Oreochromis niloticus: one gene and its partner. The protein of the gene in region 1 purifies or fractionates together with the protein of each later gene. This does not show direct contact. Links are inferred from orthologs where the notes say so. Each region holds a gene or a part of one and is shown on either strand. Other genes may lie near its edges.

Region 1 (7,848 bases):
GAGATTGAGAGACCAGTGTTGGACTGTTAGAACAGCTTTGAAATTCTTATGAGTTGTTCGCACTAAAGTAAAAACCATCATCATTTCATGCGGAGACCCCTTCGGCGCCAGCTGTGGTCTCAAGACTGGAGCTGTACAACAACACCCTGATTACAGACTGTGTTTAGACTGTTCTTCCCTTTCTATGCAAGGCCACCTGGGTTGGCTGGAAGACTATTTACTTAGCCCGGCAGGGCGAAGGACACTGTCTCAGCTGAACTCTGGACATACACACACACACGCACACAGACATATACACATGCAGATATACACTCATCCCCCCTCCCCTTCCAAACGCCTTCGACGCTTCCAATGCTGACGGTGGATCATGGAGACCAGCGCATAGGCTGCAGGCCCGGATGTACTGTCTACATTGGCTGTCTCTCACCCTTTACCCATCCCTGTTGCTTGTCATGTGTTTCTTTGGTGTATTAAGAGTTTTTTTCATGTGCTATGTGCAGAGGTGTTTTTTTCTGTTCTCAAACTGATCTCCCTGTTGGAGCTCAGTCTGGGGGGAGTTATTTTTTTCTCCTTATCTTTCCTCATGTTGTGCTTTTCCATGCTATACCCCTCTGACCTGTCTTCCCCATGTGATGTTTGTGTAATGTATGTATGGTCGGATGGGTAAGACGGCGCTGGCACGGCTGGCAGCCTTAATCCAATTTCCCTCGGGATGAATAAAGTATAATCAATCAATCTTTTAACATACAATAATTTAATAAGATAATTAAATGAAGATGGAAAATTAAGCAGAAAAACTGCTTACTGGCTCCATCTTATCTTACAAAATATGGCACATACTACACACACACACACACACTTGTACAGACAATAAGAAGCGTGGGGTGACTTCATGGTATGACCATGTCCACTTACATGGATGTGATTTTCTGCTATTGAATTCAGAAAAAACTGAAGTTATTGTGCTCAGCCCTGAAAATCTTAGAAATATAGTATCTAACCAGATACTTACTCTAGATGGCATTACCTTGGCATCCAGTAACACCGTGAGGGACTTTGGAGTCATTTTTGACCAGGATATGTCCTTTAATGCACATATTAAACAAATATGTAGGACTGACTTCGTTCATTTGCGCAACATCTCTAAAATTCAAAATATTCTGTCTCAGAGCAACGCTGAAAAAGTAGTTCATGCATTTATTACTTCTAGGCTAAACTCCTGTTATTCATTATTATCAGGATGTCCTAAAACTACCTGAAAAGTCTTCAGTTGATCTAAAATGCTGCAGCAAGAGTACTGACAGGGACTAGAAAGAGAGATCATATTTCTCCTATATTGACTTCATTTCATTGGCTCCCTGTTAAATCCAGAATTGAATTCAAAATCCACACATACAAGGTCTTGAATAATCAGGCTCCATCTTATCTTAATGACCTTATAGTACCATATCACCCCATTAGAACACCTCGCTCTTGCGCTGCAGGCTTACTTGTTGTTCCCAGAGTATTTAAAAGTAGAAAGGTAGGCAGAGCCTTCGGTTTTCCGGCCCATTTTTTATGGAACCAGCTTCCATAGAACACGTGGACCTCCATCCACATTTGAAATTTGTGACGAGGGGGGAAAATGCGCTGGATCTTCTTTACACAAACATTCCCAGAGTGTACCGAGCAAAGCCCCACCTCCAGCTCGGATACTCAGACCACTTGTCTGTTATGCTAATTCCAGGATACAGAACGCTCGTCAGACACTGCAAACTGGTTCTGAGACAGGTGAGAACCTGGCCTGCAGGAGCAATCTCTGCTCTTCGGGACTATTTTGAGCACACAGACTGGGATATGTTCAGGGAGGCAGCAACAAATGATGACTACACCAACTTGGAGTAGTACACATCATCTGTGACCAGTTACATCAGCAAGTGCATCGATGATATCCAAGATTACACGCCTTAACCAGAAACTGTGGATGACTTCAGAAGTGTGTGAGCTGCTAAAAACACAAGACTCCTTCAGAGCCAGCGACAAGGCGGCCCTGGGAATAGCAAGGGCCAAACTGTCTGGAGTCATCAGTTCAGCGAAGCGAGCACATGGCAGAAGAATCCATGGCCACTTCCCAGACAGCCGCAACACGCGGCACATGTAGCAGGCCATCAAGGCCATCATCAACTACAGGAAGAAGACACCTGGCTGTAATGGTGACGCCTCCCTACCAGATGCACTTAGCAACTTCTATGCATGGTTTGATGCTCAGAATGACGTGCTGGTGAGGAATTTTTGCACAATGCTCAGTCTTTTGGATCAGGCGACCCTGAATCCTCCCTTAGTCATGCTGCAGTAGGTATAGGCTGCTGGGGGATTCCTACAATACATTGAGTATTTCTTCTTCAGTCATCTTTCTCAATTACTATTTGTTAATAGACCTCTCTGCATTAAATCATACTTGTTATTAATCTCTGGTTCTCTTCCACAGTATGTCTTTTAACCTGTCTTCCTTCTCTCACCCCAACCGGTTGCAGCAGATGGCTGACCCTCCCTAAGCCTGGTTCTGCTGAAGGCTTCTTCCTGTTAAAAGGGAGTTTTTCCTTCCCACTGTCACCAGTGGGAAGTGCTTGCTCATAGGGAGTCATATGATTGTAGGGTCTGCCTTACAATATAAAGCGCCTTGAGGGACCTGTTGTGATTTGGCGCTGTATAAATAAAACTGAATTCAACTATGGATGTGAAAAATTCATATTTTGTAGTAGGAAAGTTGCTGCCAGTCAGGCTGAAACAATTATTTAATACGACTTGTACTTTTCACTTGATAAGCTTTTCTTTGAAACCTTCACGTCTGCCTTCCTAACACTCCTCTCAGTGGCTTTAGTCGTCATAGCAACCGGTCCCCGCAGGTGTGCAGTGAAGTCACGTTTTCTCTTTCAGGGTTATTTTATGATACCGCAGTTTTGTCCGTTTCCATATGTATGTAGACCCCATGGAGACGGGTATTCGGCTTACACACGCGTGCTCCCGTGCCGTTCTCTTGAAATCCAACAACGCATAGTTTGGCATAGGCTGAACGCTGATTGGTTGATAAGTGGGCCAAAGCAGACCCGAGAAACACGATCCGTTCTGCCATGTGCTCATGTCCTTACCTTTCACAATAAAAGCCCCTGAGTCCTGAATGCTTTGCAGTTTGACTAGAGCCATCACGCTAAGAAGCTGAATTAAATAGCTTACAAAGGTGAAGAGATTTGCAAGAGATTCTGAGGTATACATAAGAACCACATCATTGATTTAGAGGTATGAAATGAAAGACAGTAAATGATGTAACAGATTGGTGGCAGATGAAAGGGCGTTAAAAGTGGTTATCTTTCTAAAGACAAGAGCAATATTAAATGTCAACACTGAGTAACTGACTGAAATTAATATTTACCACATGTCAGAATAATTTATTAAATAAATTATCTATTTGTTTTTAAGTATTCACTGCTGAGGTTCTGATCAAAATGTTTCAACAGTGACATCTGCTGGCTAGATGGGGTAGGGCAATCCATGTGATTGTGCAGACAAGAAATCAGCAGGACTCTCACCTCTTCAGGATGTGATCTTTTACATTAATATAATGAACTTCCGTTTTTTTCCATGCTAATACTTATTCTAACAGCTGCGAAGGACTGTTAAATTAGGAGAGAATGGATTTTGAAGGGTACATTCATCAGCAAAAAAACGCACTGCTGTGGGAAGGAAAGTGCTGCTTTTGTGGCAGAGCTGCAGGCCTCTTTGCCTTAGCATTGGCACTGGATTTTGATATTGACAATGGAGTGTTTCACTGTTATTTTGGCTGTGTATTGTGATAGTCTATTTTAACCTATTTTAATAGAAACTGCCTATGCATTCAGAAAGACAAAATGAAAGGTTTTTCTACTTTTGAGTGGAAATAGATAATGTACTTACTGTATTAAGTCCTTTCATCCTCATGCTAACCCGTTACTCACATTCTATGCAGCCAGAAGCTACCAGAAAAACATCCATTAATTAGAGATGACCTATTTGTTAACAGTTCAGTTTTTTTCCACTCAGTGTGCAAATGTAATATAAACAGAGAAGCCATGCAAGTTCAGAGTGACCAAAACTCCAGATTCCAGACTCAAACAAAGTAAAATGATAACTTAATAAATGCTGACTTTACTGTTTTAGAAAAGAAAAGCGCATTTAGTCTCACATTTACTTCACTATTTATTTTACTGTAACAAAATTGGCTAAAGGTGTGTTGAGTTTAGGCAATGGAAACCACAGGCATTATGGTTGGTAACCTACTGCTAGCTTTCTGTTTAATTTGTTCTGTTTTAAAACTTGCATCGTTGTATAAAAATGATAATATTTAGGCCTATGTTAAATTCCTTATGATTGTTCTGTCATTTTACACATTTCAACAACAATTAAACAGTTAGTATGTTTAAAAAAATACACTGTCAGGTACTGTTTTTTTTTTTATTTCTCTCCAGTACACTAGAAAGTCATGATAATAGTTCTGGTAAATGTAGGATGTACATAGATTTATTTATTTTTTTAATTTTTTTTTTTTTAATTGATAATATATAGTTAATATTGGGGTGCTGAGGTGGGATTAGCGGGGGGCACCAAATTAAATTCCACTTAAGGCACCATAGAACCTTGGACCGGCTCTGAATTTGGGGTCTAACTAGTTAACAACATTCTTCCCTATACTTCAGCTTCCCCTCGGATGCACCAAGGGGAAACTGAAGTAAACGCCCACTTTTGGGAAGCGGAAGATGGGGATCTTGGGTTTCTTGCTGTAAACTGTAAGCAACCGTCTGAACTCCATTTATTTCGATGGTACATCTGCAGTAATTATGATAACTGTAAACTCCCGAAGAATGCGAAGACAAAGTCAGTGTCGCAGGCATGCGACGCCGGATGGATGGCTTGTCTAAACGTCGAGCCGACATGTGTTGACTATGGCAAACTGGTAAAAGGTAAGGACGTTTTGGCTAGCGTTAGTTACGCCGCTAGCTAACCGCGTTTAACTGCAGCAAACTTTCAGGGCAATATTGCAGGCCCTTAGTGGAGATATCGTTTACCGATACGCAAAATGAACAGTAAGGTTATATAATTCATATCTAGTTTTCGCTGTATTTTGTTTTTCGGCTAAAATTAACGCTGGTCGTGGCGCCATTTGGTGTTGATGTGCGAATATTAAAAACAAAACGCACTTGAATATCCTGTTGTGTAATATTGTGCGTCTTCATAATTGTTGTGTAACGGTTTGCGCTTCCTGTTGCCTGAAATGCGCGTGCATGTGTGTCTGTCTCTAGGTATCCCGCCCATCGCGGTGCTAACCAGCCGGCGTCTCTGCTGCCATGGAGGTGGGCAGCCTCCCCGTGGAGCTGTGGAGGGTTATCTTAGCCTATCTCCCTCTCCCTGACCTGGGCCGCTGCTGCCAGGTGTGCCGTGCCTGGCGGGAGCTCATCCTCTCTCTGGATAACACCCGCTGGAGACAGCTCTGCCTGGGCTGCCCTGAGTGCCGACATCCCAACTGGCCTAGTCAACCTCATCTGGAGCCCCCTTCGTGGAGAGAGGCCCTGAAACAGCATGCCCTTGCCACCCGCACCTGGACTCAAAATGGTCCAGAGCTCCAGTCCTCCGCTTGCCTCCTCTTCTTCCGCCGTCGGAAAGATCGCAGGGTTTGGCACGTGGGGCCGGGATGTGAGTTTGAGACCCTGCGCGGAGCCCTTGGGGTGGTGGGACCTTACGACCGAGTGGTGCTCCATCCAGGGGTGTATGAGGAGCAGGCTGAGGTAGCGCTGAAAGTACCGGTGGAGCTGGTTGGGTTAGGCCGACTAGGCGAGGTGGCCCTCTTAGTGTGTATGGAGCAGCAGTGCCCTACTGCCAGGCTGTGTAATCTGGTGTTCATGCCACCCTGGTTCTCCACGGTTGTCTACAAGGTGAAGTAGCAGCTTGTTTCCTAAGAGTCTCAGAGTCAGATTGGCCTAGTCTATACACTCCTATAAACACAAATTTCTTGAGAAAATAGAATCTAATTATAGTTCTTTGTTTCTTTCTGTCTTGCTCTCCTCTAGACATCCTGGGGACATGTCCAACTAGATAACTGCAACTTTGAGGGAGCTCAGCTGCAAGTCCGCGGGCCAGGAACCTGCCAGGCTCGGTTTTGCTCTTTCTCCCAGGGCAGCTCTGCACACTTGCTGGGAGTTGTCCTGAGTTTATTTGACAGCTGTGACTTCTCAGGAAGTGACACAGCTTCAGTGACTGTGGAAGGTCCCCCGGTCTCAGAAAGGAACTGGGCTTGTAAACATTTGGCAGCTCTGGCTAGGACGTTCCCATCATGTGGCCTATCTGAGCATAATAGTTCTCCCAAAGGACATCCGGCTGCCTCCACTGGTGGACACCAACCTCCAGGTGCTAATGTTAAAAAGGAGAGCATAACCATAGATGACTGGAAGAGGAGAACAGGGGTAGATGGGGTATGTCAGAGGACAGTGATTGAAGATGGCTGGAGTGATGGTGAGCGCAGTGAGGGAGAGGAGAACAGAGACGAGGGGGGGGCCAACAACACCAAAAAGCATTTTACACTGGAGTACAAAATCCCATGTGACCATCATGGCCTATCGCATTTGCTCAACCCCCAGCCAGATGGCTCTCTTCCGCTTTCCTCTTCCCCCGATCCCCCATCCATGATCCCTGACCCTCTCACCCTACAGCAGGAGTTAGACAGGGACCCAGAGGCTCACATGTTGGCAGCATCGACACTTGGCTGCATCCTCAGACGATGCCTCTTCAGGGACGGGAAGGGCGGTGTACATTTGTCCAATTATGGACAAGCTCGACTGGAGGAGAATGTTTTTCGTGGGCTGAACTACGCCGTGCGCTGCATCCAAAACTCCACAGTTAATAATGTTCCTAGTAACTTTGCTTCATACAAATGGCATGAATCTGTGATTGTGTATTGTGTGTATTCGGGAAACATATCAAGTTAAAGTAGCTCGGGTCATTAGTAATTTAACATCAGTGTCCTATTCAAGCTGCTACTTGATCACCTTCCTTTTCTGTCTCTCTCCTGCTTCAGATCGTAATGCTGAGAAACGAGGTCTGCGAATGTCGTGCATCAGGCGTGTTTCTGCGCCTCTCTGCTCAGGGCCTCATAGCAGAAAACAACATCCACTCGAACGGGGAGGCAGGGCTGGATATCCGAAAGGGGGCTAACCCAACCATTGTGGTAAATGCAACACAATTGCTGATTGGATTCCAACTTTTTAAAGATGCAAGCAAACAACAAAAAATTTCCTGTGATAGCATGTCCCAGACCCTTTCAGCAGCATGCCCAGATATCATGGATAAGGAGAATTTTGTTCACTACTCTTCTAACTTACTCAACTTAAGAGCTTAAGATGTTCTTGCGTGCATAAAACAAAAAGAACCAGAGTATGAATATTTATAATTTCCAGAAATGATCTATTCAGGCTTTCCAGATGAAACTAATTTCCTCAGTCTCTTTATCCACTATCAACTATTAATCCACAGTGCAACAAAATACACAGTGGTTTGCGCTCTGGGGTTGTTGTCCTTGGCAATGGAAAAGGTTCAATTCGAAGCAATCAGATTTACAACAACAAAGAAGCTGGGGTATATATTCTCTTCAGTGGAAATCCCGTGGTAAGGTAGGTTGGAGTCTGCAAGCAATTAATTTGGATATTATTCACTCTTTTCATGTTTATATCTTGAGACTGGATTTGTTTAAAAAGATATAAATCTGGATTTCTGTAGAAAACCTACAGCAGAGCTAGCTTTTTTTTTTTTTTCTTTTGACACCAATTTTCTGTTCTCCTATCCATC
Region 2 (7,667 bases), on another chromosome or scaffold:
CTGTTTTAAGTTTCCTTTAACCAGGAAATGCATTATTACTCTCCAACATTTCATTTACCCAAACATGTCCTATATTATTTATAGGTTTATGTGGAGATATATTTACCCGTTTCAGTGTTTTGGAACAAAGTGTGCACGTCTAGCACGAATCAGCAGAGCTCTGATCAATCCCAGCAGTAAGTATCAATAAGGGTTACGCGATTTACTTTTTCTGTAATTGGGAGATACATTAGATGCATATAGTTATACATTTGTCTATTTACCCACTTGTGTTGCTTGCGTTTTATTTTATTACATTTATGAATAATAAAGATTCTCGTGGAGTGGATTAACTGAGCAAATAGAGAAGCAAAACAGATTTCCCATTGGTCTGGAAATTTCTAGCCTTTGGCCAGTTAGTCATAAACAGATGCATAAATAAACCTGTATTTCCAATAGAATATGTACACAAAAGAGAGAATTAAAGTTGGCATTAAATCGGTTTAATCAGGACTCCTTTAAAGTAACCTATTTGTTTGTAGTTTTATTTGACAGATTGACTTTCCTTTTGGTTTTATTTTGTTTTAAAACATTTTCTCCTACTTTTCAGCCACTTGAGGGCGACATTGACGTTAACACAAAGAACACTTTTTAAATAAAAAAAAAAAATCTTTCTTATAGTAACTGCCTGTTTCCTGGGATCTCCTCCACGCTCTTGAGTCTGTGCTAGGAGACATACCAATGATATTTATTGATGAGCTGCACTGGAGGAGTTGGCCTATCTGTGCGACCTTTGTAGGGTCCAGGTCTGGTTTGTGTCATTGTTGCTGCTCTTAATTTCATTAAGTCTGGTTTGTGTCATTGTTGCTGCTCTTAATTTCATTAAGTCTGGTTTGTGTCATTGTTGCTGCTCTTAATTTCATTAACACCAAAGCAGCTGAACCTCATTAACCCCATCTGCTACTTCACTGACCACTTGAGGGCGACATTAACATGAACAATTTGTTCATATTAAATGTGTGTGGAACTTTTCAATGACTGGTCTGGGTGTTTTAACTGAAAAATTTTTTAGCGCTACTCCAGTATTGCATTGATGCTTAAAATAAACATCCTAGGAATCAGGTTTAACTTCAGAATAATTTTAGGATGTCAAATTAATTTGACCACATTAATGAAGTGACCCTAGCAGCAATTTGATGAAATCACTTTTAGAGATTTTGTTTGAATGTTTAAAGGAAAAGCTACGGAGATTGTTACGCCTTTGAAATCCAGCTTTCATCTGTGACCTGCAGAGGATGGCCTGAACCAGTTTATCTCTGGGCACTTGTTACTTTAAGGTTTTTGTCACAAAGAAACTGGGGCTTTGTGTGGTGTCAGTGATCCGACAATAAACTCATTAACTGACTTTGAGTTTGTGAATTAACATTACACAAACTTCCCTGACAACACGTGCTAACTATTAGGTTAGCATGTGTTAGCATTCTATGATTCATTGGTTACACACATGGAACTCATGTTTGCATAACACATCCCTCTATTCCAGGTACCAAGGAGAACAGGAATGACAAGATTATGGTTTGCATAAACCTCCAAGGTATATGCGCTTTCCAGTACGTTTTTTCATTCATTCTTGCGAAATACTACAGAAAGGTGCAGCTCATGATTTCCAGACCTTATCATAAGGGAGGATTGCTCAGAATCTTCTGTTTACATCATATTTGTAGCCCCCGACAGCTGAGCGGTTGTGGAAACAGCCTGACTCATGTATGCTCTAACGTTCTGGTTGAATGGTGTTTTGGAAGTATCATTTCCAAAGCCTTCGCAAGGAACTACAAGCAGGAACGTGGTGCATTCTCATTGGTGCAACTGCTTAGACGCAGAGGTGTCAAACTCCAGTCCTTGAGGGCCAGTATCCTGAATCTTTTACATGTGTCCCTGCTCCAACACACCTGAATAACATTAGTAGGTCATTAGCAAGACACTATAGGTCTTGACTGCATGCTGAGGTGGCAACCACTAATCCTACTCAAGTAAATTTAAATAAATTTTAAGTGTTTGGAAAAATGTACTTTTAAAAATACTTTTATTGCACCATGTTCATTCATTCATTAGCTGCTGTAACATGAATCAAATGGCTGAATTGCTACCTCAGCATGCAGTCAAGTTCTATAGTCTCCCTAATGACCTACTAAGTTTATTCAGGTGTGTTGCAGCAGGGACACATGTAAAAGTTACAGGATACTGGCCCTCGAAGACTAGAGTTTGACACCTGTGGCTTGGAGGAACAAAAGAGTCAAACACAAAAGTATATCTTATATGTAAAATTACAAAGAGTTAGACAATTTTTTAAAGTAGTTTTAAAAAATAGTTCTTCAGGTTTTCTGAAGGATTTTTGTCACATTTTTCTTTAGACATTGTCTGCTTTTTCAGTCATTTTCAGTCCAATTTGTGTATCTGACCATTTTCAAATGAATAATTTTTGTTTGTTAAGACACTCAACACTGACCTATAACTTATCTAAGCATAGAGCATCAAAGTTAACACAGTTTAACAAATATGTTTTGGACCAGTAAGGTCATTCTCAAACAGCTATTAGCTGAAAACCTTGCATATGTTGACCTTAGAAAATCTGAGGAAACTGGAAATGCAGAGGACAAAAGAAGAAGTGGTAGGCTCCAACAGAAAAAAAAAAAAAAAAAAGACTACAGCAGGTGAGCAGTACCTGAAAGTCATGTCCTTGATGGAAAAAAATAAAAATAAATCAAGCCTGTGGGATCCGTGTGCAACGTCTGACTGCTATAATATCCCAAATTATACAAGGAGTAGGCTGAAAATCAATGACAACAGGTCTGTTTCCAAATGTGAAAGTTTTGGTTCAAATTGTTGTCCCTATGTACAGAGGAGGGCAGGAGGGTGGTACAACAATAAGTATCTCAAGCCATTTGTAAAGCATGGTGGAAGCTCTATGATGGTTTTGGGCTACATGTCAGGCACTCTTCTTGGGGTGGAATGATCACTTCAGAAAAGTACCATCACATTTCGATCCATCATGAAATACCATCTGAAAAACATTTGATTGGCAACAGTTTCATTGCTCAGCATGACAATGATCCCAAACACACTGCCAATGCAGTAAAATCTTATCTGGATAGAAAAACACACAATGAACAATATCAGACATGGATTGGCCTCCCCAGAGCTCTGACTTCAACATTATTGAAGCAGTGTGGGATCATCTTTATATAGAACAGAACAAAATGCAGTCAACATCCAAAGAAGAACTTTGAACTTCTTTCAAAAAGCCTGGGGAACTATTCCTGAAGACTACTTAAAGAAATGTCAAGAAATCTGACTAAGAGAGTTTTGGTGATTATGTCAAATATTGACTTTAAAGCTTAAAATACAATCTCTGCTTTCAATTCATAGGCTCTATTACCATGTATGTGTGTATACTGATTTTGCATGTAGCCAAGATTGACTTCATATTTCCACATGTGCACTTGTTTCAATAAATAGCTGCACCCATTTCCAGTTTCCCTAACAAAATACAAGGAAGCTGCCTATTTATCATGGGTTGCCGGAAACTTTTGCACAGTACTGTAGGGAGTCATTTTGTCAACTCAGTGATTTTACAATAGAATGTGGTGATAAAGATGATGAATCTTACCTAAGTTGTTGTATTGTTATTGTGGATGAGTGCTCTCATGCACTGAATTTGAAAAAAATAAATAAAAATCCAACATCCCTTGTTTCCACAGCTGACTTGTGCCTCAGTGATGGGATGTTTATTTGCTTTAAAAGAGTTTTCTCTTTCTCTCTCTCTCTCTCTCTCTCTCTCTCTCTCTTTGTTTTTTTTTTTTTTTTTTTTTACATCACAGAGTGATATGCCGTTGTGCTTTCATTGTTTTTCTTGGATTTACTTCTCCAACTCCTACAGTTTTGAGCTTTTCTGGATCTATTCCATGTTTCATAGGTAAACTCGCTACTGATACATGATTTTAAATAATCTTGTTCAGGCTAAGGACTCCATAGTCCAGTAATCAGCAATCAGTCTGTGCTGTATTTACGTACCTATTTATCCATCGATCTATTTACAAGGGGGAATGGTGCTTGTAGAATTTTCAGTGACATTAATAAATACCAAATCAGGCACACATCAAAGCAGATTCATAAATGTAAAAACCAGGTTTCAGTCTAATATTATACGAGGTTATGTGAGTTCCATTATATATAAACATAAATTATCAGATCTCAACTGGATTTATGTAAGCTGCATAATATGTAAACAAATGATCTGATTTCAATTATCAGATCTATCTGCAAAATATATTAGATAAGAGTGCAAGTACGGTAACTTTATTATTATTATTATTATTATTATTATTATTATTATTTTGCTTTTGTTTGGATGTAAACTTCGGAAAAATACACACATAACCATTACATGATGAAAGAAAAATACAGGTGCTGTAACAGAGCCAGAGAACATACGCATTACTGACTTCCTGTTACCTTTTTCTTTTTCTTTTTTTCTTTTTGTTTTTAAGCGGACGTAGCATAAAAGAGCGCAAATCCGCTTTGGCTGCTCATTGGTCGAGAAATATGGAATCAGATGACGTAGTGGTTCCGGGTTTCTAGGTCCCGACAAAAGGTAACTTTCGGTCATTTGCTAAAGAGCGGCACACGGCTGACCGGGCTTTCTTCAGCTGAAGGTAAGAATGCTGCCAGTCTGCCAATACAGCAGGGTATCACTCTCTATCTGACTGCTGTAATCTCATTAGAGCCTTTATCCGTTAGTTAATGTGTGCTGCTAATATTGAGCGGGTTTAAGCGACAGCAGCTAACGTTAATCAACTTGCCAGTGAGACTCGCCGTGCCAGCAACGTGCGGCGGCTTTTGTCGTCATTTCGTCTGCCATGCCGCTCCTGACCCATTGTCGTTTCACTGCTAGATAAGGAGGTCAGATTTGCTTCCCAGCTCGCCTTATTTTGAAGCAGACCAATTATGTAAAGGGGGCGAGAAAGTCGCTTTAATTTTAATTACAGCTCGTATTGCTTTTCATGGTGTTTTAGGGTAACGTGTTACAAGTGGAAACCGCAGACCCCGGCTACAACTTTAGCATTTCCCGGTATTAAACTGTCGCTTTTGTTAGCAATATCTGCCCTAAACGGATATGCAGTGTTGGGCTTTTACCGTTAGATAACGTGTTATCACTTACAACTAGATATAGACGTGTGAGGAGATTTGCATCGAACCACTCACTCCCGTATTCCCGTGTAAAATGATTTTAATTTACTTTTATTCAATTCCACCCAAGAGAGAGAGAAAAACTAGTGTTTTAAGCTAGTGAACCATGGCTTTTCCATCATCATCACCATCACCACGTCCTGTCATCACACAGGAATGTTTTCAGGGTATTTTTATTTCCACAAGTAAGAGCCCAGAAAAAGATCCTGACATATAAATATTTCTATCTCCGCCGCTTTGATTCATGTGTGGGTGTACTATCATTCTTTAAGATGTATGGACAGATGTGACGTACACGGAGGATATGATTCACTGAAATGTGACTCACGATGAAGTGTGTAAGCTTTCAGGATTGGGAAAGCCAGTTACGTGGTTTGACCTTCTTTTTGCATAAATGTCTTAATGTAGCCAAGTACACACTGTTCTTTTATTTACAGGTAACCGGTGTCTGTCTTGTGCCATAAAGCAACTTTCCACATAATAGCTGACTGCCGTAGGCTACAATTACTTTGTCACGTGCTAAACGGGTTCAGCCACAGAGCAAACATGTGGATATTGACTACATTTTGCAATTATGAGACGCAGTTTGTTTTAACTACTTTACCGCCTCTGCACTCTAAGGATATCAGCAAGCTGAGCTTGCTCTATAGTGACCCTTCCCTGACCACCAAGTGGGGTGAGCCTAAAGAGTATTGTCATTGGTTGTCTGCAGCACGATCCTCATTGGACAGTAGCCAGTCTGGTCAGTGTGACCACATCTCCGCACTACTTCATCCCTCCATGACCTTTCAGTTAACCTGTTGTTTAAAAGCAGGCAGGTGTTTGAGTGCAACAGAGGACATTATAACGAGCTGAGCACTGAAAGCTTTCAGACATACAGAGGCGGTTTGGTACGCAGCGAGGAGGTGGTGAGGCTGTGGATACTTGCCATGTGTAGTGCAGTCTTCCTGTCTGTAAAGAAGAGGTAGCACAGTGGTGGAAGGGTTTAGATAAGCCTGAGATACTGATGGTTAATGGTTCACTTTTTATTTTCAATCTAGTGTTTTGTCAGAGTTCTGTCATTTCCTTTAAGCAAGAAGTCAACCGCCAGGCGAACTTGGTTAACCACCCAACTTCCCTTTTGTGACATCTCTTGGCATGCGATAGATATTTGGGTGAAAATCAACTCTCTCTTGCTTTTGACATCTAACTTGAGTCATTTAAGTGATCTCACAGGCAGCTGATTAATGAACTGTATCAATTGATTGTGTTTTTTGTTTGTTTTTCTTTTCTGTCTCAACTTTAGCTTAAGCATTTTGTGGACCAAATATTTACATACTACAACTGTGGGACTCTTAAGAGTTTAAGAGCTTTTTTCTCTCTTCCCGTCCAACACAATTCTCCTGACGCACCTCAAACATCTTTGGGACCAGCAAGCTCGACACCTTTCTGATAACCTGCTGCTCAGCTCCCTTCCAGAGAAAAGCATGGGTCTTCAGTCAGACTCTGTCCTCCAATCTATCCTCCTTTTTCCAATCCACCTTATCATATGGCTGTACTCAATAGTATCATTCCTGCCTTGGTACTACCTCACCGGAGCTGGCCAAAGAAAAGCTCTGTCCAAGAGGATAAAAGCCCGTTCCAAATCAGGTTGTGCCGAGGGACCATACCGCTCCGTGGACCAATTTGATTCCCTGGCCAGGGAAGACTTCCCAGGCAAGGACACACTCGATAAGCTGTTTAAGCATGCTGTGCAGCGTTTCGGCGAAGCTGACTGTCTAGGAACCCGAGAGATTCTGAGCGAAGAGAACGAGACTCAGCCCAGCGGCAAAGTTTTTAAAAAGGTAAGGTTGCTCAGTTTACTGCTCTGTTGACAGATGCTTAAGTGATCAGAGATGTTCGGTGTTATTTATGTGACCCTTTCCCCTTTTAGGTGATCCTAGGGGAGTACAAATGGTTATCCTACAATGAGCTCGACTCCATAGTCAATGAGTTTGGCAGTGGATTGGCGGCTTTGGGGCAGCAACCCAAAAGCACTATTGCGATCTTCTGTGAAACCAGAGCAGAGTGGATGATCACTGCTCAGGCATGCTTTAGGCGCAATTTCCCACGTAAGTATATCTCAGCGCGTTCAATCCAAGATTTTGGGGTCAGATAGCGTGAATGCTGTGTTAAGTGTTTCATAATTTAATGCTCTCACTCACTGAAATCCTTTTAAAAAAAATATTATTATTGCAGTGGTGACGTTCTACGCAACACTGGGGGAGGATGCAATTGCTTTCGGACTGAATGAGACGGATGTTTCACATTTGGTCACCAGCGTGGAGCTCCTTGAGACTAAGCTGAAAGTGAGTTAATCCTTTACAGCACATGGTCCAACCACCACTCCTAAGAACAAGAGAAGCAGTGATATGATTATTCTCATGAGATGTCTTTGTTTACCATCTAACCAGCCTCAATTA

Evidence for each region. The genes of interacting proteins can lie anywhere in the genome.
Region 2: the proteins of fbxo10 (region 1) and acsl4a purify together in Homo sapiens (affinity purification with western blotting; 3 studies listed by BioGRID, with this or other methods). This does not show direct contact. The link is inferred for Oreochromis niloticus from reciprocal best matches to the Homo sapiens genes FBXO10 and ACSL4.

What each region holds. Positions count from the first base shown.
Region 1 is NC_031971.2:22,576,638-22,584,485, reverse strand, and holds the start of fbxo10 (F-box only protein 10), read left to right. Parts: upstream 1-4,669; 5' UTR 4,670-4,973; intron 4,974-5,312; 5' UTR 5,313-5,357; coding exon 5,358-5,942; intron 5,943-6,077; coding exon 6,078-6,902; intron 6,903-7,081; coding exon 7,082-7,231; intron 7,232-7,536; coding exon 7,537-7,673; intron 7,674-7,848. UniProt on the Homo sapiens protein: Substrate-recognition component of the SCF (SKP1-CUL1-F-box protein)-type E3 ubiquitin ligase complex. Mediates the ubiquitination and degradation of BCL2, an antiapoptotic protein, thereby playing a role in apoptosis by controlling the stability of BCL2.
Region 2 is NC_031966.2:30,935,920-30,943,586, forward strand, and holds the start of acsl4a (long-chain-fatty-acid--CoA ligase 4), read left to right. Parts: upstream 1-4,542; 5' UTR 4,543-4,691; intron 4,692-4,699; exon of another isoform or gene 4,700-4,724; intron 4,725-5,845; exon of another isoform or gene 5,846-6,380; intron 6,381-6,511; 5' UTR 6,512-6,692; coding exon 6,693-7,049; intron 7,050-7,138; coding exon 7,139-7,316; intron 7,317-7,443; coding exon 7,444-7,553; intron 7,554-7,667. UniProt on the Homo sapiens protein: Catalyzes the conversion of long-chain fatty acids to their active form acyl-CoA for both synthesis of cellular lipids, and degradation via beta-oxidation. Preferentially activates arachidonate and eicosapentaenoate as substrates.